2 linked regions of the Elephas maximus indicus genome follow. The protein of the gene in region 1 purifies or fractionates together with the protein of each later gene. This does not show direct contact. Links are inferred from orthologs where the notes say so. Each region holds a gene or a part of one and is shown on either strand. Other genes may lie near its edges. The genes, in order: PAM16 and DNAJC19.

The links.
Region 2: the proteins of PAM16 (region 1) and DNAJC19 purify together in Homo sapiens (affinity purification with mass spectrometry; 3 studies listed by BioGRID and IntAct, with this or other methods). This does not show direct contact. The link is inferred for Elephas maximus indicus from reciprocal best matches to the Homo sapiens genes PAM16 and DNAJC19.

Annotation. Positions count from the first base shown.
Region 1 is NC_064830.1:62,381,605-62,397,195, forward strand, and holds the start of PAM16 (mitochondrial import inner membrane translocase subunit TIM16), read right to left. Parts: upstream 6,545-15,591; 5' UTR 6,435-6,544; coding exon 6,432-6,434; intron 1-6,431. Other genes in the region: CORO7 (coronin-7), read right to left, coding at 7,856-7,861, 8,402-8,488, 8,970-9,061, 9,452-9,587, 9,833-9,949, 11,028-11,117, 11,228-11,369, 12,150-12,235 and 8 more. UniProt on the Homo sapiens protein: Regulates ATP-dependent protein translocation into the mitochondrial matrix. Inhibits DNAJC19 stimulation of HSPA9/Mortalin ATPase activity.
Region 2 is NC_064819.1:34,021,037-34,036,377, forward strand, and holds DNAJC19 (mitochondrial import inner membrane translocase subunit TIM14), read left to right. Parts: upstream 1-7,740; 5' UTR 7,741-7,878; coding exon 7,879-7,881; intron 7,882-8,817; coding exon 8,818-8,869; intron 8,870-8,946; coding exon 8,947-9,020; intron 9,021-10,006; coding exon 10,007-10,086; intron 10,087-11,022; coding exon 11,023-11,093; intron 11,094-12,363; coding exon 12,364-12,434; 3' UTR 12,435-12,504; downstream 12,505-15,341. UniProt on the Homo sapiens protein: Mitochondrial co-chaperone which forms a complex with prohibitins to regulate cardiolipin remodeling.

The sequences.
Region 1 (15,591 bases):
CATTCTGGGCAGAGGGACTAAGGTGAGCCAGACTGGAGGGGGAAGAAAGTATGAAGGCTGTCCTGGGAGCAGCCAGAGCTGGGCAGGCTGAGCTTAGGGAGCTGGGAAAGAAGTAGTGAGAAAGGGACTAGGAAGATGGCTGAGATGGAAAACCATGCTGCCCACATAGTGGAACAGACCACACACGGCATATACGAGAGCAATCACAAGTATGTGGAACAGTGCACACGTGGTGCACATTCCCCCGTCAGTGACCAGAGCTCACGTGAGAAAGCCAAGTGGCTTATCCTGTCTTCTTTGTATTTTTCTGCCTACTGGTCAGCTGACAGTGACCGAGCGCCTGTGTGCCAAACATGTCCCACTTACCATACCATTAACCCTGACAACCCAGGACACTGAGGCACAGAGGGGCTAAGTGATCAGCCAAAGTCACTCGCCCAGTGCATGGGGCAGCGGAGCTGGAACCCAAAGCTGCACTGTGAGCTATGGTGTCCACAGGCTGCCCGCCTTGCCCAGGATCCCAGAGGATGGAAGGAGGGAGCCAGAGCAGCCTAACAAGTACCAAGACCCCAGGCAGCCCAGGAGGCAGAGAGGGGCTCGCCAGGTTCTGATGGAACATGGCTGCCCCAGACTCCAGAACTGGCCTAGTTTAGCCTCCAAGGAACTGGCCCTTCCCTAACAGGAAGGCTGTGATTATGGGCCATTAGGGAGAATTAATAAATGAAAGTGGGTTTGCATTTCACAAGCAGGTGGAGCTTTGTTAGGCCTTGCATTTCACACCTGAAAGCAAAGCCCAGTTGAGGCTCCCTCCTGTGATCAAAGCCAAGGGCAGGACTGCCTCAAGCTGGTCTGCAGGCATAGTAAAATGATGGACTGCACTTGCTGACAGGTAGCCTCACCTGGCTTCTTGCTCAACACCACTGGCGGGGGTAGGGGTGGGGGCAGGAAGCCCTGAGATGGACTACTTGTCCCGGCTTGGCGACAGGGAAGCTTGATTGGGGAGCAGATGACTCCAAAGGGTCCCCTGAGCCTGGAGCACCTTCCACGGCTAACTCAGCTCTCCCCTGGCTTTCAGACCACACCTCCCTTAACAGCCTTCCCTCCCTGTGCAACCTCATCACACTGCTCTGCAGTCATCTGCTCCCTTTCTCCCCAGGGCAGTGATGTGCCTAAGTAATGAGTGTAGGAGCTTGGCTGCTACCAGAGACCACCACCCCTTGCAGGCTTCAAACCAAAGTGGCATGGGTGGCCCTGCTGTTCCAGCTGCCCAGAGCTGCACAGCCACAGGGAAGGCTGGGCTGGCCTCCCATTTCAGCATGGGAGCTGCCTGGACAAGAGGCGCCTGCCAGGGGAGATTCTGGGACCAGTGCCAATGTGTAAATCCCGGCTGTGGGACTCTGGACAAGTTCTCTAACTCCCTGAGTCTTGGTTTTCTCACCTGAAAAATGTGGCCAGCCATTAGGCTGTTGTTATAGGACTAAAAGAGATAATGCTTATAAGGTACCTGGCACATAGCCTAATGATACAGGAAGTGCTTCATAAATGTTGTCATGTCTTCTTTTTCACAAAACTTCACAGTGGCGAGGTGCTAAGGAGTTCCAGAGTATCTTCCGACATACCAGCTCATTGGATAGAGACCCCAACTCCTCAGCGGTGAAGACTGCAGAAAGCCGTAGATATTCCCCAAGAACCATGGAAGAGGAGCAAGAACACTGTTCTGCTTGTGAGCAGCCATCTAAGACACAACTCCCTGTCTCTATTTGCCAGAAGCAAGATGGTGAGAACGTAACCAAAAGTGCAGAAAAGAAACAACTCTACATGAGCCACAACCTCATCTACTCTGAGACCAAAAGAACCAGATGGTGCCCGGTTACCACCACTGACTGTTCTGGCTGGGGTCACAACAGTTGGCCCCAGATAGAATGGGACAAAAATACGGAGCAGAACTCAAATTCTTACTAAAAAATAAAAATAAAGCCAGACAAACTGGAACAGTAGAGAACACAGATCTCCCTGAAACTATCACCCTGAGACTCTCTTTAAACCTAGAACCGAGCCTAACCTGGGATCTCCTTTTAGTGAAATTGCAGAGTGGCACATAAAATAAAGGATATTATCTGTAAGGTCAGTGCCCTGCTTAAAAACCATCAGTATGAGACCAAAGGTCAACAATTACTCAAAAGCAAAGACGAGAAGAGGGCAGGGAAACTAGAGCACTGGAAACAGAACCAGAACACACAAAAAAAATGCTGACACATTGTGATAAATGTAACTAACGTCACTGAACAATTGGTGTGGCAACTGTCAAATGGGAACCTAACTTGCTGTGTAAACTTTCACTAAAAACTTATTAAAATATTGTTTAAAAAAAAAAAAAAAGAAATAATGCTTTGGTATCTAATCCCAGCTGTGCTTCTTGCTAACCATGTGGCCCGGGGCAAATTACTCAACCTCTCTGAACCTCAGTTTTCTCATCAGCAGAATGGGACAATGAAACTGTATCACTAAGTACAAAGAGGAAGAAATTGAAGATTTTTATCAACTTCTGCAGTCTGAAATTGGCTAAACATGCAAACAAGATGCATTAATAATTACTGGTGATTGGAATGCAAAAGTTGGAAAAAAAGAAAGAACAGTAGTTGGAAAATATGGCCTTGGTGATAGATATGATACCAGAGATTGCATAACAGAATTTTTCAAGACCAACGACAACTTCTTCATTGCAAACACCTTTTTGCAACAACATAAATGGTGACAATACACATGGACTTCACTGGAGGAAATACACAGGAATCAAATGACTACATCTGCGGAAAGAGACAACGGAGAAGCTCCATATCATAAGTCAGAACAAGACCAGAGGCCGGCTGCGGAACAATCAACTGCTCATATGCAAGTTCAAGCTGAAGCTGAAGAAAATTAGAACAAGTCCACGAGAGCCGAAATATGACCTTGAGTATAGCCCACGTGAATTTAGAGACCATCTCAAGAATTTAGAGATGCACTAAACACTAATGACCAAAGACCAGAGGAGCTGTGGAATGATATCAAGGACATGATACACAAAGAAAGCAAGAGGTCAATAAAAAGACAGGAAAGAAAGAAAAGACCAAAATGGATGTCAGGAGAGACTCTGAAAGCTGCCCTTGAATGCTGAGTAGCTAAAGCAAATGGAAAAAATGATGAAGTGAAAACTGAATAGAAGATTTCAAAGGGTGGCACCAGAAAACAAAGTATTATAATGACATGTGCAAAGGCCTGGAGTTAGAAAACCAAAAGGGAAGAACACGCTAGTACTGAAGAAAAAATTCAAGCCTTGGGTTGCAATACTGAAGGATCCTATGGGCAAAATGGAAACCCTGGCGGCATAGTGGTTAAGAGCTATGGCTGCTAACCAAAAGGTCAGCAGTTTGAATCCGCCAGGTGCTCCTTGGGAACCCTATGGGGCAGATCTACTCTGTCCTTTAGGGTCACTGAGTCGGAATCGACTCAATGGCAATGGGTTATGAGCAAAATATTGAACGAAGCAGGAAGTATCAAATGCAGATGGAAGGAATATTACACAATCACTGTACTAAAAAGAATGTGTCGACATCAACCATTTCAGGAAGTAGCCTATGATCACGACCTGATGGTACTGAAGGAAGAAGTCCAAGCTGCACTGAAGGCATTAGCAGAAAACACGGTTCCAGGAATTTTTGGAATACCAATTGAGATGTTTCAACAAACTGGAAGTGTTCACTCACTTATGGCAAGAATTTTGGAAGACAGCTACCTGGTCAACCAACTGGAAGAGCTTCATATTTATACCTATTCCAAAGAAACGTGATCCAACAGAATATGGAAACTGTTGAACAGTATCATTAATATCACACACAAGTAAAATTTTGCTGAAAGTCATTCAAAAGTGCTTATAGCAGTACATTGAGAGAGAGCTGCCAGAAATTCAAGCCAGATTCAGAAGAGGACATGGAACTAGGGATACCACTGCTGATGTCAGATGGATCCTGGCTGAAAGCGGAGAATACCCGAAAGATGTTTACCTGGTGTTTTATTAACTATGCAAAGGCATTCGACTGTGTGGATCATAACAAATTATGGACAACACTGCGAAGAATGGGAATTCCAGAACACTTAATTGGGCTCATGAGAAGCCTGTACATAGACCAAGAGACAGTCATTTTAAGAGAACAAGGGAATACTGCATGGTTGAAAGTCAGGGAAGGTGTGCGTCAGGGTTGTATCATTTCACCATACTTATTCAATCTGTATGCTGAGCAAATAATCTGAGAAGCTGGACTATATGAAGAACATCACACCAGGATTGGAGAAAGACTTATTAACAACCTGCATTATGCAGATGACACAACCTTGAAGCACTTACTGATGATGATCAAAGATCAAAGCCTTCAGTATGGACTGCACCCCCACATGAAGAAAACAAAAATCCTCACAACTGGACCAATAAGCATCATGATAAATGGAGAAAAGACTAAAGTTGTCAAGGATTTCATTTTACTTGGATCCACAATCAATGCCCATGGAAGCAGCAGTCGAGAAATTAAACAACACATTGCACTGGGCAAATCTAAAAGGCTGCAAAAGACCTCTTTAAAGTGTTAAAAAGCAAAGGTAACCCTTTAAGGACTAAGGTGTGCCTTACCAAAGCCACAGTGTTTTCAATTGCTTCATATGCATATGAAAGCTGGACAACGAATAAGGAAGACTGAAAAATTGACACCTTTGAATTATGGTGCTGGTGAAGAATACTGAATATACCACAAACGGCCAGAAGAACAAGTCAGTCTTGGAATAAGTATAGCCAGAATGCTCCTCAGAAGCAAGGATGGCGAGGTTTTGTCTCACATACTTTGGGTATGTTATCAGGAGGGACCAGTCCCTGGAGAAGGAAATCATTCTTGGTAAAGCAGAGGGTTACTGAAAAAGAGGAAGACTCTCAAGGAGATTGACATACTGGTTGTAGCAATAGGCTCAAGCATAACAAGGATCGTGAGGATGGTGGAAGACCAGGCAGTGTTTCATTCTGTTGTACATAGAGTTGTTCTGAGTCAGAACTGACTCAACAGCAGCTAACAACAAAGATGATGACACAGGAGGGCTACAAGACCCTCATGGAGCAATGCCCGTAAAACAGGTGACAGACAGGCAGTGCCAGACCAAGAGCAGGAGCACAACAATATCGTTGCTTCCAGACAAGACTCTGCTTGGTATTAATGGTCTGGAGACCAGACAGTGAAGCTAGCCTCTCATCCACTTATTCAGGACCCAGAGGCACACAGAATGCCAGGTCAGGCCTGTGCTTAGAGCTGTGGATTCCACACTGAGCAGAGCTCTGGCCGCCACAGCTAAGTCCCTGGGTGGTGCAAATGTAATAGAAGCTGTATACTTCTATTTACATATACGTAAATGTAAACACATGAAATGTACTGAAAAGGCAAGGCTGTGGCTCCTAACCAAAAAGTTGGAGATTCAGGTCCACCCAGAGGTGCCCTGGAAGAAAGGCCTGGCAAGCTACATCCAAAAAAGCAGCCACTGAAAACACACTGACACGCATGGGTAACTGTGAACTGGAATCGACTCAACACCAACTGGTTTGCTCTGTAAAAACTACATAAGAAAATATATTATGAAATCCTCAATCCAGAGCCTGGCACCTGTAGGCTGTCGGTGTCAGCTATTAGTATTACCCTATTATTGTTCATTAAGGAGTGGCCTATAATTAAAGCAGTGGTTCCCCAAAACGGCTGGGTCTGAATCACTCGGGGATGTACTACTATCTAGAAATATACATATTCGTATTAACATTTATCGGACCTCCAGGGATAAGGCTCAAAAACCTGTATTTTAAAGGTTCCCCCCGGGAACCGGGCGCAGCCAGTGTGGCCCAGGTCGGTGGACGGCTGTAGGCGCCAATGGTGTGGTAGAAACGCTCCACTGTCGGTGCCGCTGGGCCTGGTTCGAGTCTCCGTCCTGCCACGTTTTGGGGAAATTCTCGGAGCCCTTTTCGTCAGCTTGGGAACGAAGGTCATAATACAGACGGCGCTCACTCTGCAGAGCTAAGGCGCTCAAGGAGCGAGCAGGTGCTATGGACCACATCTATCCCCTACCTTTGGGTGCCTGCGGCTGTTCGACAGGGGCTGGCACACGCGGTGCACGCAGGCGACCACCTCTACTGGGTATTTTCCGGCGAGCCAAGCCCGCCCTGCCTTCAAGCCAGGCACTTACCCCTCGCCTGGCCCCTCCAGCTCGCGGCCGGCCCGGGAACGTTCGCAAAAGCCGCCCGAAGTCTCGCTTCCCGGGGCGGCCCACGGGGCGGACGTCCCCCACAGCCCGGCCCGGGGCCCACTGCCAGCCGCCCCAGCCCTGAAGCGGCTTCCCTCCCACGGGCAGTACCCGGTTTCACGCCTCACCATCGCGGCCGCTCTGCCTCTGGGGCAGAATCCGCCTTCTGTGTCCCCAGCCGCCCGGGTTCTAGGGCGGCCAGGAGGTCAGAGGTCACGGGAGGTTGGGAGAACGCGTGCGCAAAGCCACGCCGGGCATGCGCGCCGCGTCCGCCCTCCAACAGGCAGTACACAGGCAGTGACGTAACACGATGGGGGCGGAGCCTGCCTCAGACCCGACTCAGGGGACTACCGAGAGCGGGCGATGGGGCTTCCCCAGGACCCCGTTTGCTAGAAGCAGCGAAATGCATGGGTCAAATGTGGGGCAACTTCCTCCTTTGATTTTGCCAAAATATTTTTTTTTTTATTTGAGGTTAAAACATTATATAAAATAAACATACAACTCCCCACCAACATAATAGCGCACCCGTTGCCTGTGGAATGGACTCCGACCCATACCAGAGCAGACCTGCCCCCATAGGGTTCCCAAGGCTGTCGTCTCTACGGAAGCAGACTGCCACATCTTTCTCCCGAGTATCCACTATGGGTTCAAACTGGTGACGTTCTGGTTAGCAGCTGAGCGCTTAACCACTGCACCACTAGGGCTTCTTTAAATGTCTTTTTACAAATCTGTCTCCTGCTGATTGTTTCTCTGGAGAACCCTGGGTGGAATGAATGAATGAACTCCCCAGCAGCATGCAGCTGAAAGGCCTTAGGGGCAAGGTGCAAGGTGAAGTGTGGGACTGGGCAGCCCAGGGCCAAACTTCTCTGACAATACTCCCCTCATCCCCTTCTCAGCCAGCACAGAGTAAGCAGCACAGACGTGGTCAGCTTAGAAAACTTTAATTGCTGAGAACATATGCCTTGTGCAGGCCCATCCTTGTGGGGCTCATACCCCTTTAACTGGGCCATCAGCTCTGGGGTGCCCACTTCTCCTGGCTTCAAGCCTGGAGAGCAGGAGCAGTTGGTCCCAGGCCCCTGAGGCTGGTGCTGCACCAAATGGCCTGGTGAAGGGCCGGCCCCTGAGGCTCTTGACCAGAACTGGGGCAGCAGGCAAGACAGGTCGGCCTGTAGGAGCTGAAGGTGCTGAACAAAGCCAACCCAGGCTGCGACTAGCCCACATCGGCATGGGAGGCGGGGCCCAGGGCCTGCTCAGGGACATGCTTATTGACCCCCATGTCCCCCTTGGCTCCACATGCTAGCAGGCAGCTGAGGAGAAGCAGCTGGTCCCAGAGAAAGCAGAGGTGTGGACAATCCCCACAAGTGGCTGGGGAGCTAAGAGGCCATGGAAGGGCCAAAGGCCCGAAGGAAGCCAGGCTTCTGGGGATGAGGTGCGCTGGGGCCATAGAGGCACCTTCCAGTCTGAGGATGAGACATGAGGTCTGCACAGGCCTCAGGTGGTCTAGGATGAGCAGCGGCAGGTGAGGCCAGACCAGAGGTGAATGGTGCGTAGGCTAGTCCTAGGGGGATAAACAAAGACGTGGGAGGGAAGTGGAACACACTGCAGGGGCGGGGGAGCATGGTGATGCTGGAGGAGCTGAAGCACTCCGCAGGCATGGGGAGGGAGAGTGGTGATGCTGGAGGAGATGGAGCACCCTACAGGGGTGGGGAGGAGGATGATGATGCTGGAGGTGGAGAACCTTGCAGGGGTGGGGAGGAAGGGTGGTGATGCTGGAGGAGGTGGAGCATCCTATAGGGATGGGGAAGAGGGTGGTGATGTTGGAGGAGGTGGAGCACCCTGCAGGGGTGGGGAGGGAGGCAGGGGTGGGGAGGGAGGGTGGTGATATTGGAGGAGGTGAAGCACCCCACAAGGGTGGGGAGGACGATGATGATGTTGGAGGAAGTGGAGCACCCTGCAGGAGTGGGGAGGGAGGATGGTGATGCTGGAGGAGACGAAGGACCCTGCAGGGGTGGTGAGGAAGGTGGTGATGCTGGAGGAGGTGGGGCACCCTGCAGGGGTGGGGAGGCACAGTGGTGCTGGGGCCCATCCGTCTACTCACCCACTCGTCCTCACCCACACCCTCAAAGGAGTCCTGGGGGAGCGGGTCCTCCCAGTTCCCTAGCTTCGCCACCATGGCGTTCAGCAGCTGAGAGTGTAGACAAGAGAAATGTTAGAAAGGGAACAGACCTCTGACCCCAAGAATGTCAGACCCCACAGTTTACGTGCAACAACGTCGTGAAGTTAGAACGCTAACAAAGCTGGTGGGTTTTCATGGAAAAGGGCACAGAGACAAAGATGGGGGGTCACAGACACAGAGACACAGGCACGAAGCGCCAGAAACACAGGTGCAGGGAGGCTGTCTCCATTCATTGCCTGCAAACTCTCAGATGTGCACCAGGGTCCCCAATGCACTTGGGTTCAAACTTCTGGCTTGCTCGGTTAAGGCTGGACAAGGCAGGACACTCACAGCCCTTACCTGGCCTCAGGGCCCCGTGCTGTGTGGGCAGCAGCAGGTCAGCACTCAGGGCTCTGGGAGGTGTCTAGACCAAACTTTGCGGGGTGAGGGGGGCGCGGGTAGAGAACTGGATACTGCCCACTCCCTACTGGTGGCCCTCTCCCACACCTACCTCTTCCTTCTTTTGCTGATCTGACTTCTCTTCTAGGTAGAGTGCTGAGGAGGGGGCCCGCCGGGCAGGGGCCTCACGGGGAGCCTGGCTCACTGGGGCAGGGTAAGGGCAGGCATCAGAGAGCACCCTGGATAGGGGGTACTTGCCTAAACCTTAGGAGCCAGCTGTAGGGGATTTCATGGCAGAGACCCAAGAGGTAGCACTGGCAGTGACTGGACCCATCGTTCACAAGGCCTGCACTGGGCATCAGGATGTATGTGTGTAGCAGGTGGGGACTTGTGACAGAAACAAAGACCATGGGCCCTGCCCTCCAGGGACTCAAACACTAAGTCTGGAACACCCACCAACTCCCACCATCCTTGGGAGTCCAGAAGTTTCTGTGTGCCAGCAGAGACAGAGATTGGACTTGGGCCTTCTGCCCTTTCCTCCATCCCCACCAACTCCCCTGCTTCTTTCCACCCAGACCCGGTCCCTCATCCCACCTGGGGTCATGCCGGGAGGCTGCAGGCAGAGGAGCCGGGGCTGTCCATTAGCACCTCCCAGCCAGGCCTCAGCACTGAGCACCGGCTCCCAGCTCATGGCTGTGTCTGGGAACACGTCATCCTGGAAAAACTCTTTCTGCAGGAAGGAAGGAAGGGGTCGTCCTGAGGTACTGCCCAGGGGTACTGCCCAGGGACTGGGGTGCGTGGTGATGCCTGGGACCCTCCCTACAGTCTAGGGGTTCCAGAATCTCAGCTGAATGAGGAGGCAGGTGTCCCCAAAGAGCAATGAGTGGAGAAGTCTGGGGATGGGGCCAGGCCCAAAGCCCCAACAGGTGCTGAGGAGGGAGGCTGAGTATCGGAGCCCTTGGTCCCCAACCTTACCCTGACTCGGGGCAGCCGAAAGGCTACAGGCTCCAGGGAGGTCTGGCGGAGCCTCAGGCATCGGGCAAACTCCACTTCCCGCACGTTACACTCTGTCTTGGGCAGGAGGATGAAGCCCTAAGGAAACCAGGGAAGTCAGAGCCAGAGCTGGATCTGGGGCTTCTGGCTGGGCACACAGGGACCCCAGAGGACCAGTCTTCTTCTCCTAGGACCACCAGGACCACACCTGTCCCTAGTTAGCGGTGTGCTGGTAACTGTGAAACCACGGGTCTCTGGAGGAAAAAAGCCTTGATTTGTAGCCTTTGTCTATTTCCATGGTGTAAATATTCCCACCATGGCTAATTTCAAGCTAACATGTAGCAATGGAAAGAGATCTGCAGTACACAATCGTGTGCTGTATCCACCACATAGATATAACCCAGTGCCATTGAGTCGATTCCGACTCATATCGACCCTATAGGACAGAGTAGAACTGCCCCATAGAGTTTCCAAGGATTCGAACTGCTGACCCTTTGGTGAGCAGCCGTAGCACTTAACCACTACACCATCAGGGTTTCCAATAGATATGATAGATGCAAATAACTTCAAGAGCACAGATAATACTAAAACCTGGTACAATTATCAGGAAGTGTCCAGTTTTGAGTATTCACTACCTTTGCTTTTAACATAATGTATTCAATTTTAAGCTTATATAGGGAGACCCTGAGCAATGCAAATGTCAATATGCTCAACTGCTAAGTGACTAGTAGGAGGTTAAGTCTGCCTAGAGGTGCCTCCGAAGACAGGCCTGGCAACCTACTCCCAAAAAATCAGCTGTTGAAAACTCTAGAGAACACAGTTCTACTCTGATACACATGGAGTTGCCATGAGTCAGATTCGACTCAATGGCAAATGGTTCAGTTTATATAATTTTTAATAATAATAGAGTTTAACAACCAGCCTGCAAAGTTCCTGGAAATGTCACCAGCTGTTGGGGACTGGCTCCAGCCCACCCCCAGCCCTAACCTTAGCAGGGTCCTTCTAGTTCCAGGCAGGCCGAGGTTAATGACCCACTGACCTCACAGATGCCTGTACTTCCCACATGGCCACCAGAGGGCGTGAGAGCCCTGAGTCCCATCCAGGAATCCTATCGTGAGGATCCATCTTTGGTGGCTAGACTAGGCCCCCAGGGTTGGGGGCTGGGTGAGGGGCTCACCTTGTGGAGGTCTGGCGATGTGAAGCTGTTACACTCCAGGAAGAAAGGGGCCTCAGGGAGCAGCTCATACAGGAACACCCGGGTGTCGCCCTGGAGGGGGAGGTAAGAGTGGGGTGGCCAGTTAAACCTCACCGACCCCCCCACCTTCCTCCCACCTCCTCTCACCTGCCCACCACCCCACCTGGCTCACCCCAGCCCACCTTGCCCGTGAGGAGCACTAGGCCCGTGTCTGGGTCATAGCTGGGCAACAGTGTTGAGGGGGCCACATCCAGGCCTAGCACGGCCAAGGGGCCCCCAGCCAGGGCCTCAGAGGCATACAGCAACAGCTGGCGCTCACTGCGCCTGCAAGGGGGGCAGGAGCAAGTCCTTAGAGCGGGAGGGGCCTGGGACAGGGCAAAGACTCCAAGGGCCCTATTGTTGTCTGGAGGAAGCCTGAGGGCCAGTGGATGCTGGGAGAGGCCCCCGCCCACCCTCTGCCTAGTCTGGCCCTCAGAAATCCCTTCCTGGCCAGCTGCCCTGCCTCTGGCCCCTCCTCCTGGCTGCTGCCCCCTGCCCCTCCTCAGCACTGGTCTCGGTCCCATGGCTGCTGTGGCATCCGCAGTCTAGTCTTCAAGGCCTCGCCTGGCCTTCCAGGACTTCCCTCCCCACTTTCTGCCTTTTGCTCTCTGCTCCAGCCAGGTTGGCTCAGCATCCTGGTCCTTGAATGGCCTCTTCTGAGGTCTCTGGTGACCACCCCTTCGTGACCCAGGTCAGATGACATCTCTTTCAGAAGGCCCTCTTTGATCCCTCCTCAGATGAGCCAAATGCCTCTCAGGTCACTCCAGTCTTCCTGGTTCTGTATTCCCTGCACATCACCTGGCTCCCTGCCAGGCTGGGCTCTCAACCCTCTGGGTCCCCAGATGACTCCCCCTCCTCACCTCCCTCCCACCCATCCATCATCTATCCACCCAACCACCCATCCTCCATCTATCCATCTTCCATCCATTCATTCATCCACCCACCCACTCATCATCCATCCATCCATCCACCCATCCAAATAAAGGAGGTGCGTGTGTTTGGAGAAGGGGGACACAGGTGGTTGCCAAAACCAGGAAACAGGAATGGTGGTCCCTTAGCCCTCACCTGTCAAAGCCAGATACCAGCAGACAGTGGCCATCACATACCCAGACAATGCGGGCTCCACGGGCCCCCTCAGGCCCTGGACCTTCCTGTTGGGGTACAGCATGTGAGGCCCAAGTTGGGTCTCGGGGCTGCCCCCAGTCCTCACTTGCTCACCTGCAGGGGCTCAGGGTGACTCCGGGGCTCATAGACCCGGACATGCCCATCCTTGCAGACAGTGGCCAGCTGCTGCCCATCTGGACTCCAGGCAAGGCCAAAGATCTGGGGGTGGGTGGGGCCATGAGAGGTGGCTTCTTGCCTTGTGGCTAGGCCCCCCACCTCGAGGCTGCCCCACCTGGTCCCGGTGGCCCCGTAGCCTCAGCCGCTCAGCTCCAGCCTTTAGGTCCCAGATGCAAACAGTGAGGTCGTAGGAAGAAGAGGCCAGGACATCAACCGCCAGTGGGTGGAAGCGCAGGGAGTATATTTTCTCCGTGTGGCCTGGGAGTAGGCAAGGGGTGACACTGAGCCCCTTGGGAGCCTCTGCCTGCACCCCGCCCTCCCTGGTCCCACCTGACCTGTGAGTATGGCCTCGGGCGTGGTGAGCACTTCTTCCAGGCCCTCTGCAGGCACCCGCCACAGTCGAATCCTGGCATCCTCCCCAGCTGCAGAGGCCAGTGGCTCAGCATTGCTGTGGTCGAAACCCCTAGCTGTCCCCTGTCCCTATTCAGGGCCCAGGACCCTCCCACATGGCCTGATGCCCACCTTCTTACCTACAGCGAGGCGATGCAGGTCAAAGGGGTCCCAGGCAAGGTCGGTCACGGCTGCCCCATTCTGCAGCGTGGGCAGCGCAGTGTCAGGCAGGCGGCCAGGCTTCCGCAGCTGTGGGAGGTGCCCCCCCATGGCCTGTCAGTACCAGGCAGGAGCACCCATTCCCCTGGGCCTGCAGCGGAAGCAGCATGTCTGGGCTCCCCTGCAGCCGACGTCCCCACCACTGAGTTGCCCAAGCTCTCTGCCTCAGCTACCTCATGCTCTGAGCCCCAGGTGCCAACTGTGAGGCCCTGGAAATGGGGACAGGGCAGCATGGAATGGTGAGAAGAGCTCAGGCATGGAACGCTGAGGGCCTGGGTCTGACTCCCAGCTCTACCACTTACACAGCTATGTGACCTTGGGCAAGTCACTAAGCTTTTCTGTGCCTCAACACCTTCATCTGTAAAACAGGGATCAGTGTGGCACCCACTGCATGGGGAGGCTGAGCGGGTACCTGGCACATGATGGGCACTTGGCAAAAATGAGCCAGTGTGAGTCTCAATGCCCTGGGTGACTTGGCTGCCACCTGCAGGCCCTCACCTCGAGCACAGCCACCTGCCCACTACTGCTGAGCAGGGGCACCGCCACACGCAGCCGGTTGGCACAAAAGCCGTCACTCTCGCCAGGTGTGGTGAGGTTGAGCCCCTTGAGGTTGGTGATGTGGCTGTCTCGGTGCAAGACGGTGCCATAGGCGTGGCGGAACTTGGAGCTAGGACCTGGTGGGCGGCAGGGACATGGCCATGCATGAGGATGCCCGTGCCCACCTGCCTGCCTGCTCCTGTAGGAAGAGCCCAGGCTGAGTCCTGCTGCTCTCACTGTGTGGAGATGCCCCGGTGTATACCTGGCCTGCCCTCTGCTGACCATCTGAACACAGTGCACACAGGAGTAGGACCCACTGGGGTAGACCCTTGCCCCTCTGTGGCCCCATGGTATCTTGGTGGAACCTCAGAGTTCCACGGGACACAGCTTAGAAACCACTGGGTTAGACCATCTTGCTTTGTAGGTAAGACCTACCATCCTCACTTTATCCTCTTCAGGAACGATTCCTCACTCTACTTGTCAGGCAGGGTTGGGGAAGGCAGGGGTGGGAGAGGGGGGTGTGGGAGGCAAGGGTGCAAGAGGTGGGGGTGGATGCAGGGGCAGGGGAGGTGGGGGTGGGAGTGGGGAAGGCGAAGGTGGAGGAGCCAAGGGTAGGGGAGCTAGGGGTAGGGTAGGCAGAGGTGGGGGAGACGGCTAGGGGAGGTGAGGGTAGGGGAGGCGGAGGTGGGGGAGGCAGGGGTGGAAAAGGCAGGGGAGGGGGACATGGGGTTGGGGAGGAGGGGGTGGTAGAGAAGAGGGTGGGGGAGGCAGGTTGGGGGAGCTGGAGGTGGAGGAGGCAGGGGTGGAGGAGGTAGGGGTGTGAGAGGCGGAGATGGGGGAGGCGGGGGAGCAAGGGAGGCAGGGGTGGGGGAAGTGGGGAGGACAGGATGGGGAAGTGGGGGTAGGGGAGGCAGAGGTGGGGGAGTTAAAGGTGGGGGAGGTGGGGGTGGGTCTGGGTACAGAGAAAGGGGAGGACTGTTTGGGTGTGGGTAGAGGAGGGTCTCATGGAAGCATCTGTCCAGTGCACTTACCCAGCAGGCTCTGCAGTGACCTCTGGCTGAAGCTGGTGCCGATGCCGCTGGTGCTGGAGCTTGAGGGCCCCAGGCTGGAGGGTGTGGAGGGTGAGGTCAGTGAGCTGGGTGGTGAGGTGAAGCCATCCTGGGAAGCAGCACAGGGTCAGCGAGGCATCTAGGCATCTGGGGTAGCCACTCTGGGCCTTGCCCAGACTGTGGGCCCCTCGGCCAGGCATGACCCGCTGTAGGGCATGGAACAGGGGAAGGAAGGGAGCTGGGGGCACAACCTAGATGCTGATAGGAGGCAGCAGTGCGAAAACACAGGCAGTGGGCTGAGCTAAGACTGGGGGGCTGCAAGGGGCAGCTGCTGGCTCCAGCTCTGTGGGAGGCCAGCCAAGATCTTCCAAATTTCAAGAGAAGCCAGAAATCCAGATTTTTATTCAAAAACTCCTGCTTTGTAAATGTTTGCTCAATTAAATAACACTAGTTTAAGTCCTTTCCTTAATGACGTGTATTCTCTGTGTATCGGATGTGACAACCACAAAGTTAAAGGCCATTGGGTGGGCGTTGGCCTGGGCACCCTCAGGGGTGTCAGTGGTGGGGAGGACCCCTCTAACATCCAGACCAGGGTCCCCATGCTCCTGGGGGAGTGACATGGCAGGGTTGGCCCGGCACTTACACTGGGGTCTGTGTCTTCTATCAGGGTCTCCGTGGGCTGGGCGGGTACAGGGGGCTGCTCCGTGGGGGGCAACAGGGTAGACATAAAGCTGGTGTGGGGTCGGTGGGCTGGGTTGAGGCTGACCCTCTGCACCTGTGGGAAGAGGATGGCCATCAGGTGTCATGGTCAGCTTAGGGGCCAGGGCACTGGGGGGCATGGGACACCCTGTCTGTTAGGAAGCCTTTGGAGGCAGCTGCCTGTGGGAGTGGTGAGCAGGCTGGGTCCTACCTGCTGGTTGCTCCCAGCCCACCAGGCCTGGGGCTCAGAGGCAGGCACACAGCCTGTGGTGTCTGGGAACAGGTCCTCATGGAACTCCACAGTCTGGTCGACAGAAGACAGGCAAGTGGTC
Region 2 (15,341 bases), on another chromosome or scaffold:
GGTACATTTTCCCAAATAAAGTTTTCCCAATTGATCTTCCCTTTCATTCTGTGGACTGCCAAAAGAACAGGCAGTCCTTTGCTCCATCTCTCTTCCTTCCGTTGCCTTTCCCAGGCCAGAGGTAATCCCTGGAGTACTTTTTAACATATTTTTCTGGCTTTTATTTACATAATCCGAACTAACATCCTTATACGGCTGTTTCTTGATTTATTTCTATTTTATCATTATTCAGTGATTTCCTATCATAGAAGATAAAATTTAATCTGTCCTATGGTGGTAAAAAAAAAAAAAAAAATTTTTTTTTATGGTGGTGGCTCAGTGGTTAAGAGCTACAGCTACTAACCAAAAGGTCAGCAGTTCAAATTCACCAGCCACTCCTTGGAAACCCTGTGGGGCAGTTCTACTCTGTCCTATAGGTTCGCTATTGAGTTGAAATCGACTCGATGGCAACAAGTTTGGTTTTTTGATTCTACACATCACCTGTAGCTCTGGAGGCACACTGGAAAAAGGTTGGCAGTTCAAATCCACCAGCTGCTTCTTGGAAACCCTCTGGGGCAGTTCTACTCTGTGCTATAGAGTTACTGAGTCGGAATCAACTTGACAGCAATGAGTTTTGGGTTTGGTATACATCACCCAATGCACATGTGCACATATTTTTCCTCCTTTCATCCCTCTGGAAACCCTGGTGGTATAGTGGTTAAGTGCTCTGGCCACTAACCAAGAGGCTTGCAGTTCAAATCCACCAGGCTCTCCACTATGGGGGCAGTTCTACTCTGTCCTATAGGGTCACTATGAGTTGGAACCAACTCAACGGCAATGGGATTTTTTTTTTTATCCCTTCAATAAAATTACATGATTGTGTAAATATTGTTTATATTTGAGACAAAGGGTGTACTAGGATTACATATTTTTCCTTGTAATGCTTTTTGTTTTTCCTGGAGTTAGCAATTGCCTTATTTATTTTTTAAATAACTTTTATTAAGCTTCAAGTGAACGTTTACAAATCCAATCAGTCTGTCATATAAGTTTACATACATCTCACTCCCTACTCCCACTTGCTCTTCCCCTCTTGAGTCAGCCCTTTCAGTCTCTCCTTTCGTGACAATTTTGCCGGCTTCCCTCTCTCTCTATCCTCCCATCCCCCCTCCAGACAAGAGTTGCCAACACAATCTCAAGTGTCCACCTGATATAATTAGCTCACTCTTCATCAGCGTCTCTCTCCCACCCGCTGACCAGTCCCTTTCATGTCTGATGAGTTGTCTTCGGGGATGGTTCCTGTCCTGTGCCAACAGAAGGTCTGGGGAGCATGGCCGCCGGGATTCCTCTAGTCTCAGTCAGACCATTAAGTTTGGTCTTTTTATGAGAATTTGGGGTCTGTATCCCACTGATCTCCTGCTCCCTCAGGGGTCCTCTGCTGTGCTCCCTGTCAGGGCAGTCATCAATTGTGGCCGGGCACCAACTCGTTCTTCTGGTCTCAGGATAATGTAGGTCTCTGGTTCATGTGGCCCTTTCTGTCTCTTGGGCTCTTAGTTGTCGTGTGGCCTTGGTGTTCTTCATTTTCCTTTGCTCCAGGTGGGTTGAGACCAATTGATGCATCTTAGATGGCCGCTTGTTAGCATTTAAGACCCCAGACGCCACATTTCAAAGTGGGATGCAGAATGATTTCATAATAGAATTATTTTGCCAATTGACTTAGAAGTCCCCGCAAACCATGTTCCCCAGACCCCCGCGCTTGCTCCGCTGACCTTTGAAGCATTCATTTTATCCCGGAAACTTCTCTGCTTTTGGTCCAGTCCAATTGAGCTGACCTTCCATGTATTGAGTGTTGTCTTTCCCTTCACCTAAAGCAGTTCTTATCTACTGATTAATCAATAAAAAAAACCCTCTCCCACCCTCCCTCCCTCCCCCCCTCGTAACCACAAAAGTATGTGTTCTTCTCAGTTTATACTATTTCTCAAGATCTTATAATAGTGGTCTTATACAATATTTGTCCTTTTGCCTCTGACTCATTTCGCTCAGCATAATGCCTTCCAGGTTCCTCCATGTTATGAAATGTTTCAGAGATTCGTCACTGTTCTTTATCGATGCATAGTATTCCATTGTGTGAATATACCACAATTTATTTACCCATTCATCCGTTGATGGACACCTTGGTTGCTTCCAATTTTTTGCTATTGTAAACAGAGCTGCAATAAACATGGGTGTGCATATATCTGTTTGTATGAAGGCTCTTGTATCTCTAGGGTATATTCCGAGGAGTGGGATTTCTGGGTTGTATGGTAGTTCTATTTCTAACTGTTTAAGATAACGCCAGATAGATTTCCAAAGTGGCTGTACCATTTTACATTCCCACCAGCAGTGTATGAGAGTTCCAATCTCTCCGCAGCCTCTCCAACATTTATTATTTTGTGTTTTTTGGATTAATGCCAGCCTTGCTGGTGTGAGATGGAATCTCATGGTAGTTTTAATTTGCATTTCTCTAATGGCTAATGATCGAGAGCATTTTCTCGTGTATCTGTTGGCTGCCTGAATATCTTCTTTAGTGAAATGTGTGTTCATATGCTTTTCCCACTTCTTGATTGGGTTGTTTGTCTTTTTGTGGTTTGCCTTATTTATTTTTCATTGTTTAGTTTTCTATGTACCCACCACTTATTTATCTCTGAGTCAGTTAGGATGTTTCAGCTGTGAGTAATCAGAAAACCCATCTGTTACCTAGCACTGTGATAACAGAAATACCACAAGTAGGTGGCTAAACATTTCACCTTTTGGCCCCCCAAACTCATATCCTCCCCACATGCAAAACACATTCACCCCATCACATCATCCCAAAAGTCTTAAGTGAACTCAAAGTCTAAAATCTCATCTTCTGAATCATCTAAATCAAGTATGGGTGAGACTTTGGGAATGTTCCATCCTGGGACAAAATTCCTCTCCATCTGTGGACCTGTGAAACCTAGAATACAAGTTATCTGCTTCCAAAGTACAGTGGTGAAACAAACACAGGGTTTTTACAAATGGGAGAAATCAGAGGGAAAGAGGGGTTCGTGGGCACCAAGCAAGTCCAAAACCCAGCAGAACAAATTACATCAGCTGTTCTCCAGGACCATCTGAGCAATGGCCTTGCCCTCCATACTCTGGGTGTTAGCCATGCTTTTTGGATTTTGGGTGGAGGCCTCTAGGTCCTGGGTATCAGCCCCATCCAGGTCCACTAGGATGGCAACTCTGCTCCCTTGGCTTTGGGCAGTACCATTATCCTAGTTTATCTGAGTGGTGACCACAACCCCTCAGCCCTGGGTGGTTCCATTCTCCTGGCCCTTGGGAATGGCAGTCCCACCCCCTCTGCTTTGGGTGGCAGTCCGATCCTCCTGGCCCACCCAAATGGCAGTCCTACACTTCAGCACTAAGGTGCAAGAGGTCTAACTCTTTAAAACCTAGGAGGCTGTTTTTCCATCTTTGAAATGGAGGCAGCATTCTACCCTTCTAAACCGAGGCAGCCCTGCTTCCCATGTTCCTTCCAACAGTTCTGCTAATTTCTGAACTGCTCCAGGAATGGTACTTTCTTTTTTTGAAGGACCTCAGATGTTTGCAACCAAGTAGCTGTATTGGCCTATTTCCTGCCTGTAGAATTCCAAGAAATGGATATCCTGTCTCTGTCCCTTTAGTCTAAGCTGATGGGTTTTCTGCTGTGGTAGTGGATTCAATCCATCACTCACAGGCTTATCTTTTTAACAAAAGATTGGGTAGCCATGTCCTTGATGAACATTCTAGGACACGTGTCCTTAGTTTGTACAACAGAATTTTCCAAATCTTTTAAGTCCTGGTTTCATTTTGCACAGTTCATTTTTAAGTCTATCTTTTTCCTCTCACTTTTTACTCTAAGAGGCAAGGAGAAACCACATAGCCCGTTTAAGATCTTGCTTAGAAATCTTCTCAACCAGATATCCAAGTTCACCACTTACAAATTCTACCTTCCATCAAACATTCAAACATAATCCAGGTAAGTTCCTTGCTACCACATAAAAAGCATCACCTTCCCTCCACTGTCCAGTCTCATGCTCATCATTTCCTTCTAAAGTCTCACCAGAGCACAGGGAACACCCATATATCTAGCAACATTCTGTTCAAAACCATAGAAGCTTCTATCACAGCTCTCAGTTCCTTCTGAACCCTCATCAAAATTGCCCGTTATGTCCACAATTCTACCAACAGTCTCTTCAAAACAAACAAGAGCCTTACTATGAAGCATACCAAATTCCTCTAGCCTCTAGCCATTACCCAACTCCAAAACCACTTTCATGTTTCAGGTATTTGCTAGAGCAGCATTTTACTCCTTAGTAAACCAGTGATGCTGCAACAGAACTGCACGAGTGGATGGCTTTAATGAGCAAATTTATTCTCTCACAGTCTTGGAGGCTAGAAGCCCAAACTCAGGACACTGGCTCTAGGGGAAGGCTTTCTCTCTCTGCCAGCTCTGGGGGAAGGTCCTTGTCTCTTTTCAGCTCTGTTCCTTGCTTCCTTGGCATTCTTCATGTGGTATCTATCTTCCTCATCTGTACTTCCTTGCCTCTGTGCCTAATCTGCTGTTTCATATCTCAAAAGTGATTTGCTTAAGATACACCCTACATTGATATGGGCTCATTAAGATAACAAAGAAAAACTCTATTCCCATATGGGATTATTTCCACAGGTACAGGGGTTAGTATTCCAATACAAATTTGGGAGGACACAATTCAATCCATAACACCATCGAAAAACAGCTTAAGTTTATTTTTCTCTCACAAACCAGAAATCTCCAGGTGGGGTAACCAAAAAAAAAAAAAACCAAACCCAGTGCCATCGAGTCAATTCTGACTCATAGCGACACTATAGGACAGAGTAAAACTGCCCCATAGAGTTTCCAAAGAGTGCCTGGTGGATTTGAACTGCCGACCCTTTGGTTCGCAGCCATAGCACTTAACCACTACGTAACCAGGGTTTCTTTTTTTTTTTTTTTTTAGGGTTTCTAGCCCACCATTAATTAGGTCAGCTGCTCGGTACCACAATATAAACTAATCTTTCTGTTTGTCATCCTCACTGTATAAGCTAGTGTGAAAGAGACTCGCTCTGCCCTGTCCAATAACACAGCTACTAGCCACATTTGGCTGTTTAAAAACAAACTCACTGCCATCGAGTCAGTTCCAACTCACAGAGACCCTATAGGACAGAGTAGAACTGCCCTATAGGGTTTCCAAGGCTGTAATCTCTAGGGGAGCTGACTGCCACATCTTTCTCCTGAGGAGTGCCTGAACCACCGACCTTTTGGTTAGCAGCCGAGCATTTGATCACTGCACCATGAGGGCTCCTTTGAAATAAAATTAAAAATTTGGGCTTTGAGTCACTCTAAACCAAACCCAACCCAAAACAAACCCACTGCCGTCAAGTCGATCCCGACTCATAGCGACCCTACAGGACAGAGTAGAGCCACCCCACAGAGTTTCCAAGGAGTGCCTGGTGGATTCAAACTCCCAACCTCTTGGTTAGCAGCTGAAGTACTCAACCACTATGCCACCAGGGTTTCCTGAGTCACACTAGCCACATGTAAGTGCTCAATAGGTACATGCCATCGAGTTGATTCCAAGTCATAGTGACCCTATAAGACAGAGTAGAACTGCCCCATAGGGTTTCCAAGGAGTGGCTGGTGGATTTGAACTGCTGACCTTTTGGTTATTTAATGGGTTTCTTTTTTTTTTTTTTTTAATTATTGTGGTGAAAATATATGAAACAAAACATTTACCAGTTCGACAATTTCTACATGTTATAATTCAGTGACATTGATTACATTCTTCATGCTGTTATGATGGCTTGCTTTTGTAGTTGTTGGATAAAAGTTAGGTGAACGAGAAGCAAAAGATGAAGTTAAACACTTAATGCCAGTGTCTTAGCACAAGCTGTCACCCTGAATCACTTGTTGACAATGAATCACATCACAAACATCTTAGAACCTGAGGAGCCCTGGGAGATTCAAATGCAGGATCTTTTTGTAGCTGAGGAAAACAAAGTCAAGAAATGTGCTATTTGTCTAATAACCAGCTATTATGGATGGAATCGTGTCCCTTCAAAAGATATAGTGAAGTCTTCACTTCAAAAAATACGTCGTACCTATGAATGTAACTCTTTGGAAATAAGATGCTTGAAGATGGTATCAGGTTAAGATGAGGTCACACTGGAGAAGGGTGTGGGTCCTAATCCTGTATGACGGGTGTCCTTATAAAAGAGAAGATACACAAGCAGGGAGGCAGAGGAAGAACACCAGGTGATGCTGCAGCGGCAAGCCAAGGATCGCCTGGAGCTACCAGAAGCCGGGAGAGAGGCGTGGGACAGGTTCTCCCTCACAGTTTCAGAAAGAATCAACACAGCTGACACCCTGATCTCAGACTCTCAGCCTCCAGAACTGTGAGGCAATAAATTTCTGTTGTTTAAAGATGCCCAGCTGTGGTATTTTACTGATACACCACAGGAACCCATGAAAGCAGAATCTGTCTGCAGAGTTCACAGATCCTAACACTTTGTAAGTTCTAAGAGGGAAGTAAGTCCCTACGTTTTGGATTTGGAGAGCTGAAGCACTGTTGGCAGTCTGCGTTGATGATCCAAATACGGCATTCTAAAACTTCCATTATTGTCGCCACTTTTATCTTTTCAAGCATGTATGAAGGGATATACAAAACTGATGCCCTGTGGTGGCAAAAACAAACCCTACTTCTTTTGGGGGCAGGGGACACATTCTAAGTAGCATTTTTCAGTTGTGAGAATTTTGAAATCCCATGACCAGAATAGTTTTTGAGGTGGTAATCTCACCCAACAAAACTGAAAACCAAAACATTCGCACAAGGTTCTGTCGAGTCACGTATTTAAATAAAATTACTTCAAATAAAAGAATGCTACCAAGGAGCTCCTGAAATACGCTGTGGTTTTGTTCATTTAAAAAAAAAATTTTTTTTTTATGCTCGGTTGCTACACATTTGTTTGGCTTCATGGTGCAGCCTGTTATTGCGTATTTAGGGGTAGTCATTACCCTTGACAGTTATAAGGTCCTCGGGAGGAGCAAGCAGTCTGCGCTGGACTAACAGAAAGGCTGGAGGTCTGAACCCACCCAGCAGCACTGCAGAAGAAAGGCCTGGCAATCTGCCTCTATAGGAATTACAGCCAACAAAACTCTAAGGAACAATTCTACTCTGTAACACATAGGGTCGCTGAAAGTCGGCACTGACTCCTTCACAATAGTTTTAGTTTTCTTGGCCTTTTTTGAAATTATAAATGCTACTGGAAAGAAAAACGGTCCGAGTAAGGCTGCACAGTATTTGCTTATGCCTTACCTTCCCCTGCAAGAATTTCCAAACGCCCTTGGCCCAGAAGCAGGTGGGGAAGGGGGACCAGAGGGCAGCGGATACCGAGAAGCCACACCCTCGAGCCCGGTAGAAGGTGACCCGCCCACCCACACAGCACCCAATCCGAAGTCGCTCTCTCCGCCCGCCCACTACTTGAGCTACCTTTCTCCACCCCTCTTTCTACCTACCAACCAATCCGAAGTCTTGTTCTCCGCCCACCACCCGCCAACCAATCCGGTCTCATTCTCCGCCCGCCCACTGCTTGAGCGACCTTTCCCCGCCCCCTTCCACCCACCACCCAATCCGAAGTCGTATTCTTCGCCCGCCACTACCTGAGCGACCTTTCCCCCTCCTCGTTCCCCCTTTACGACAGTTTTCCGGCTAGCTTTGCGGCCGCCGCTGCCGGTTTCCTTGGTGCGGGTTCCCGGGCGGCCCGTAGCTGTCTGTGTGGCCGCGGCCTCTGGGCTGGGATGAGCTGCCCTCCCGGTGGAGGTAGGGCAGCCGAGCCGGAGCCATGGTGAGTGTGGCCTTCCGGCGCCCTCGGCCCGGCCTCCAGGAGAAGGCTGGCCTTGTGCTCAGCGCCCCGAGCCTTGTGCTCCTACCCGCCTTCCAGCGAGGCTCGCAGCCCTGTCCCCTCGCAGGCAGCCCCGGCCCCCTCGCAGGCGGCCCCGGGCCCCTCGCAGCGCTGGCTGGGTCAGCCGCTGCCGGGCTCAGGACTGGTGGAGACGCGGGGTTCTGGCTGCGCCCCGCGGCCCTGGCCCTCCGTCCCTGGCCCTCCTTCCCCCCCTCAGGCCCCTGTGAATGGAGCTCTTCTCCCAGGGCCCCGGACGTCTTTGCCCTTCCTCCCGCTCTCCCCGTGAGGCCAGATGGTGTCAAAGGCGCTCAGAAGAACTAGCGTTCTCCTTAATCTAACCCAAAACCGCCGAGCAGTCGCGACTGACAGCGACCCCATAGGGCAGAGCAGAGCTGCCCCACTGGGTTTCCGAGGAGCGCCTGGGGGATTCGAACTGCCGATCTTCTGGTTAGCAGCCGAGCTCTTAACCACTGTGCTACCAGGGCTCTCCCTAGTCAGCCAGCCCCCGTCTGTCGTTGGAAGTGCTTCCTCAGGTCCTAAGAGAACGCCCGTCATCGGTTCTTCCTCTTCCACCGCAAGCCTTATTTCGGTGGCTCCGGAGGCAACTTTCCTGTGACTTCGTTTGCTCGGGGATGAAAGGGGCATTTTCAAAGGGAAGCAATAATTGTTTTCACTATGTTAGGAGTCCATTAAGTCGACGTGCCCTCTTCCAAGTGAAAATCCCAACGAGCAGAGGTTTAAAGGATCACGGGGCAGGGTACTTTCACCTTGTTTCCCCCATGGAAGGGAAACTTGGAGTGGTTCGGGGCTGGCGAGTGGGCCGGACCGGAGCGGCTGGGCGTTAGAGAAGTAAATACTAATAACTCTTCCCTCCCCCAGGCCGGCACTGTTGTTGCAGTCGGACTGACCATCGCTGCCGCAGGATTTGCAGGTTCGTTTAGGGTTTGGGAGTGGATGTGAAGTGGGGGAGATGGGAGACTTGCTTATTGACTCTTAATTTGTTTTTAGGCCGTTATGTTTTGCGAGCCATGAAGCATGTGGAGCCTCAAGTAAAACAAGTCTTTCAAAGTCTACCAAAATCTGTAAGACTTACTAAACTTTTTTGCTAATTTTTTGCTGCAGAGGATAAATTTCCAAACATTTACCAAGTTCTCTTCTTTGGGCCCCTTCTCCTCTTTTCAGAAGAGAGGTTTCAACGTTCCAAGCTTTGTAATGGTGCTGCCCTCACACATGCAGTGTTATGAGACAGTGTTGGGGGGCGGGGAGGAGGTTGTTAATAATCTAGTATGGAGTGAAATCATCACTTTATTGTTCGCATATTGTTACTGCAGCCTCATTCTCTGTTTACATTCTTGCCTTCCCACTTGGCTCTGCCTCACAAGCCCAGAGGCCTGTAGGGCTTTAAAGTCATCTGCTGGTACTGTGTGGCCTCTGCACCCCCTACCTGGACACTTGTAATTAACTGCACTTAGGCTGTGGGGTATGATGCAGGTAGTGATCAGACCATGGTACCTTCTGTGGTCACAGTTTAGAATGAGTTTGGCTCTGACAGCCTGTTGTGTAGATGCTGTTGAGTAAATATTTTTGCGTGTGACCGAATGTGACAAAATAGGATGATGGTAGGCTTTACCAGTGGATCTGACATAACAAGATCAGAGGACCTGATTGCCTAATTGTGTTTTATTGGTTGCCTTGAGTCTCATGATACCCTTGAACCACTTGCTCCAGGAGGTGTCTAAATCCTCGTCTTGAGCCACTTGTTATTTTAAACATACTCATATTCTGAAATCAGATTTTCACCTAGACCCTGGCCACCTTGGAATAATCTTTTCTTTGTTCCCAGCTTTGAGTCACTGCTCAGTTGTCTTACATTTCCAAAGACAGTTAAGGTTGTCTAAAAAAATGGGTCTATTTAATGACGTTAAAATGATCATTTGTTGCTACTTGTAAATCTAAAATACTGTGGGAATTGCACTTAAAAGTTCTCTGAAATGAATTCCTGTTGTTTCTATGAACATTTACGAACATTTTCTTAGCAGCTTTCTTACTAATGCGTCTCCTCCTGCAGGCCTTCAGTGGTGGCTATTACAGAGGTGGATTTGAACCCAAAATGACAAAACGGGAAGCAGCATTGATACTGGGTGTAAGGTCTGATAATTCCTGATATTTTTGATATTTTTTCTACAACTCTAGAGATATGAGGAAGTGTAAGAATGACTTTCTCTAACAAAACCAAAAACCCATTGCTGTCAAGTCAATTCTGACTCACAGTGACCCTATAGGACAGAGTAGAACTGCCGCATAGAGTTTCCTAGGAGTGCCTGGTGGATTTGAACTGCCAGACTTCTGGTTAGACACTGTAGCACTTAACCACTGCTCCACCAGGGTTTCCCTCTCTCCAACTAGAGGGAGTTAATAGGGGTGTTGCCCCAAGAAGATTGATGTAATCAGTTTTAGTCAACTGTACCTACACTGCTCCCTCCTTTCACGTGTTTTAAAGGTCTAGATACTCCCTACAAAAGTCAGAAGAGAAGGCATACTAGCATATGGTGCTTTTTCATTTACTGATAAACATATCAACAGATAATCACAGTGCTCCATACTTTTAACTGATAAACATACGTTCTATGGTGAAACTCTGCCTTCATTTGTAAGTACTAAACATGCTTTCCTTTTCTATAAAATGACTTGTGCTTAAAGCACTGAACTCACCAGCTGCCCTGGGGGAGAAAGATGTGGCAGTCTGCTCTGTAAAAATTACAGCCTTGGAAACCCTATGGGACAGTTCTCTCTCCTATAGTGTCGTTAGGAGTCAGAATCGACTACACAGCAGTGGGTGTTATTTTTTTAAAACATACTTTCCTTTTATGGAAGAACGCCTTACTTTTCTGAGGAGCAGTTAGTTCTGGTTGAGAAAATTCACCTTGAGTGGAAGAAAAGAAGTTTCTAAGCAGCTCTTCACACTGTCGTGTAGACTTCCTACAGTTTCGTAATACCGTTAATTGGATTTCATGAACAATTTTTTTTAATGTGATTCAGAAATAGACTGAAGTAAACAATACCTTTTTTTTTTTTTTTAATTAGCCCTACTGCCAATAAAGGAAAAATCAGAGATGCTCATCGACGAATTATGCTCTTAAATCACCCAGACAAGGGTAAGTGGTCATAAATCCTTGTTTTATGTGTTGTTGGAATGACTGTTAATAGTGGAATAATTTTACATCAATTTCTGGTGGTCACCGTAAGGGAAATGCCCAGATGTGTGTGTGAGCGCTGTCTCCAAAAGTGGATGCATTTGTTTTTGGTGTCTTAAAAGAAGAAATGCTGAATGGAAAATGCACGTACAGAACTCTGAGCAGATCCGATAATTACTGAAATGCAGAAGTAATGGTGAGCATTAATGCCTGGAGATCTGCGGTTTAGAGAAGATGTGATTTATAATGTTGACAGAGCCATAAACTCTGCTGCTAACATGGTTTTTTGTTTATAGTCATAATTGAATGAAATGCTACGTTTGTTAATGAAATTAAAAATGTAGTTTTCCCCTACCTGTTAGACTCTTAGAACTAAAAAAAAAAAAAAAAGACCTAAATAGAAACGTATACGGTGTCGTTAGTTTCTGATACACCTACAAGCAGCTTTACAGTTCCCTCTTCTTTGGCTATGTGGAAAGAAAGCACATTAATTCCTTTGAGTACCAAAATAATAGACCACAAAACCCATGTTCCAATGTTCAAATACTTTTACTTCCATAAGAGAGGACTTTCCTTAAGAAAGAGGGTTTTGACCGTTTAAACAGAATTGCAATTGTTTGGTGATCTGATTTCTCAGCCTCTTCTACAGACTTTGGCTTCATTACCTGGAGGGCTTCTGATGCAGTAAGTCTAGGGTGGGGCCCATACATTTTGCATTTCTACTGGCTTCCCTGTGTGGCATATCCTGTCTGACTCTGGGGACCACACTCTGAAAATCCCTGCTCTAGTGGCAAAGCAGATTAGCAGGATGGCATCATTAAGGGACAGCTTATAACAGAAAAAGGAAGATCTAAAGCAAACGAGACTTTGCAACAAAGAGCTCACACAGAAGCCTCTGAAAATATCATGGTTTAAAACAACATGGTACAGTCAACTAGTGGTTGTTCATGACTTGGAGTCACTGTGAATAGGTAAACTTGGGCTATTTTCTAGGTACATGAGGATGTCTTTTTTAATCCCATTTCAACCATTTTGTTAAGCTTCAGGCAAATGTCATTTTTAAAGAAATACTCATGTAAATATGTCATCTCACATTGGTCAAATGTATCACCATTTCTGCTAATTTCACCTCAGACAAGCATAGGGATCTTTGAAACAAGAGTAGGTTTTCACCAAGCAAAAGCTGAGAAAATCCTTCTTACAACTGTTCCTTTTTTCTTTCTTCCTGTAGGAGGATCACCTTATATAGCAGCCAAAATCAACGAAGCTAAAGACTTACTAGAAGGTCAAGCTAAAAAATGAATTTTAAAGTACATATTAGTTTGTGTGTATGAATGAGTCTGACTTTTTATAATAAAATACCTCAAAGCTTTGATTTTTAAAAATGATTTAGCACAAAGTAAATCAAAGGCTTATATAATTTTTCTGTTTAAATTTGAGAACAGCTTAGAGTATTTGGCCTAGAATATTTGGAAATCGTTATAGATAAATGTATACCACTTGAATAGAAATACACTCACGTAGCGTATAAATAGGCACTTTTTAAGGTAAAGTGAACATGGTAGTTAGTCCCTGCTCTTGAGGAACCCCGTCTAATGAGAGAATGACAGATAAACTGTTAATTAAAGCACAAGGTGATAAATGTCATGATTTAGCACAAGCTGTTATAATGGGGACTCAACTCATTTGGAGGAAAGGCCGTTCAAGGTCCAAAGCAGCACATTGTAAAAAGCAAAGACCTACCTGTGTAGAATCTTATATTTAGCCATAACTCTGACGTAAGAAACTGACCCAGGTGTGTATATAATGTCACTGACAGAATTCAGACTTCATACATTAAAAACCATAACAGCCCATTGCCTGTTGCCATCAAGTCAACTCCGTCTCACAGTGACCCGACAGGACAGAGCAGAACTGTCCCATAAGGTTTCCAAGGAGCACCTGGTGGATGCGAACTGCCGACCTTTTGGTTAACAGCCATAGCTCTTAACCACTACGACACCAGGGTTTCTAAAACTAACAGTACGCAAAAAATAGACTTGAAAGTACAGTCCTGTTTTTAATCAAGAAAATATTTACATTGTATTCAACTAGCCCCTTCAAGGTATCGACCATTTATAGTTTATTTTTTGACATAATTAAAGTTTTACAGATGCCATCACCAAACTTAACTGTTATCGAAACTATAAATTGAAATGCCCTTAGTATCAAAATAGTATTCAGCCTGGACTCTTAAAAATTTACACACCAATAAATTTAAATGACATTTGAAGCAAATGGCTTGCAGTATATGGAGTATCATAAGAATCTTAAGCATAAAACCAAACCTGTTGTCATTAAGTTGATTCCGACTCCTAGCCACCCTGTAGGACAGAGTAGAACTGCCCCATAGGGTTTCCAAGACTGAAATCTTTACAGAAGCAGACTGCCACATCTCTCTCTCCCAGGGTCGCTGGTGAGTTCCAATCACTGACCTTTCAGTTAGCAGCTGAACACTTAACTGCTGTGGCACCAGGGCTCCTATATCTTAACCAGAGGACCTGTATAAAACCTGGGGTAGATAGCTGCGGTCACCACTGGGATTATTTATATTTGTTTGAGGATGAATAAGTTACACTACCTACCATCTAAACTTAAATCTTAGAAGTTCTCAATTACTAATGGAGAACACAAGGAATTTTGAGGTGAAGGTAATCATTTTTGTGTATGATGAATCTCTTTAACTAGACAAAACCTCATGTAGTAGGTGTAAATACCTGTGCGTGTTTCATGCAAATAGAATACCTGTATTAAGACAGTGGAAGATCATTTTAATCCTAAAGAGCATAGCAGAGCACATTTTCTTTTACATTCATCAGTTTTATTTTCTTTAGGCTTACCTTTTTCAAGTAGAACACAATCCATATTTGATCGAAGGTTTAACCTAGCATTTTTCTTGGAAAAAATTTATCTGTGTCAACTCTAGATTGTATTGGGGAAAAGCTGTCAGTATGATCTAAAAAAGAACCTTTATCCTTTAATGGTTGGTTTTTTTTTTTTTTTACACAAAATACTTGATCTGTAATGACAACATTTGAGTACTTACAATGTGCGGGCATAGTGCTCAGCATTTTCCTTGTCTCAGTAAATAAGCTACTTGCTATTATGTAATTTTACAGGTCAGGAAACTGAAGTTTATGGAGATTAACTTGTCCAAGGCCACATGCCGAATGAGGAGACTGAGTGCAGCCCGGTCTGTCCCAGCTCCAGAGCTCCCTATTTGTTTACCTCCATACTGTGGTACCTTTCACAGTTCTCAGAACCCAGGGACGTATTCCTTGGTGGTGCTGAGAGGTGACTCTTGATACTTATCATTACGCATCTAGTTTGGACCCTTTTTTTAACCAGTTGTAAACATTATCAGTGCCTATAACTCGTTGGCACCAGGTCAATTCTGACTCATAACGACCCTATAGGACAGAGTAGAACTGCCCCATAGTGTTTCCAAGGAGTGGCTGGTGGATTCAAACTGCTGACCTTTTGGTTAGCAGCCAAGCTCATAACCACTGCACCACCAGTAGAAATACACTGAAAAATAAAAAGGGGGGAGGTGTATGGTTGAACCCAATATTGGGGGAATAGGAGATGCAAGTTTACTCAGTAATTATGACACTTCCTCCACATTTTATGGAAGAGGAAACTAAAGGACATAGCACGTGGTTTCTAAGGCTGTATAGCTAGTGAAACTAGAATTAAGCCCTGGGTATCTTTTCCTGGTCACTTTGTTTATCTGTAATTTGGTTCTCTACATATTACTATTTAGTAGATATGTTTGGGGGCATTGCTATCCACAGCCTTAATACTAGATCTGGTTTCTCTGTCACTACTTAGCCCTTTCCGTTTTGCCTTCATGGGGGCCTTTGGGTTGACATTATTAGATGAGTCCTAAGCTGCTGTATAAAAACTTGGCTTTGCTGGTGATGAAAATGGGCCATAATGAGTGATCGCTTAAGTTAAATATTTTTAGAGTTTTAAACAAATTCTCGTCTTCAAATATTTTCCAAATGTTGGGATTACCTATAGAAACATTTAAATGAAGACAACAGCCTAGTTGTGAAGTTTAGTATTCCATGAGACCCAACTCTTTGAAGAACTGAGAACCCGGTGAGAATACGAGCCCTGGTGTCATAGTGGTTAAGAGCGTGAGTGCTAACCAAGAGGTCGGCATTT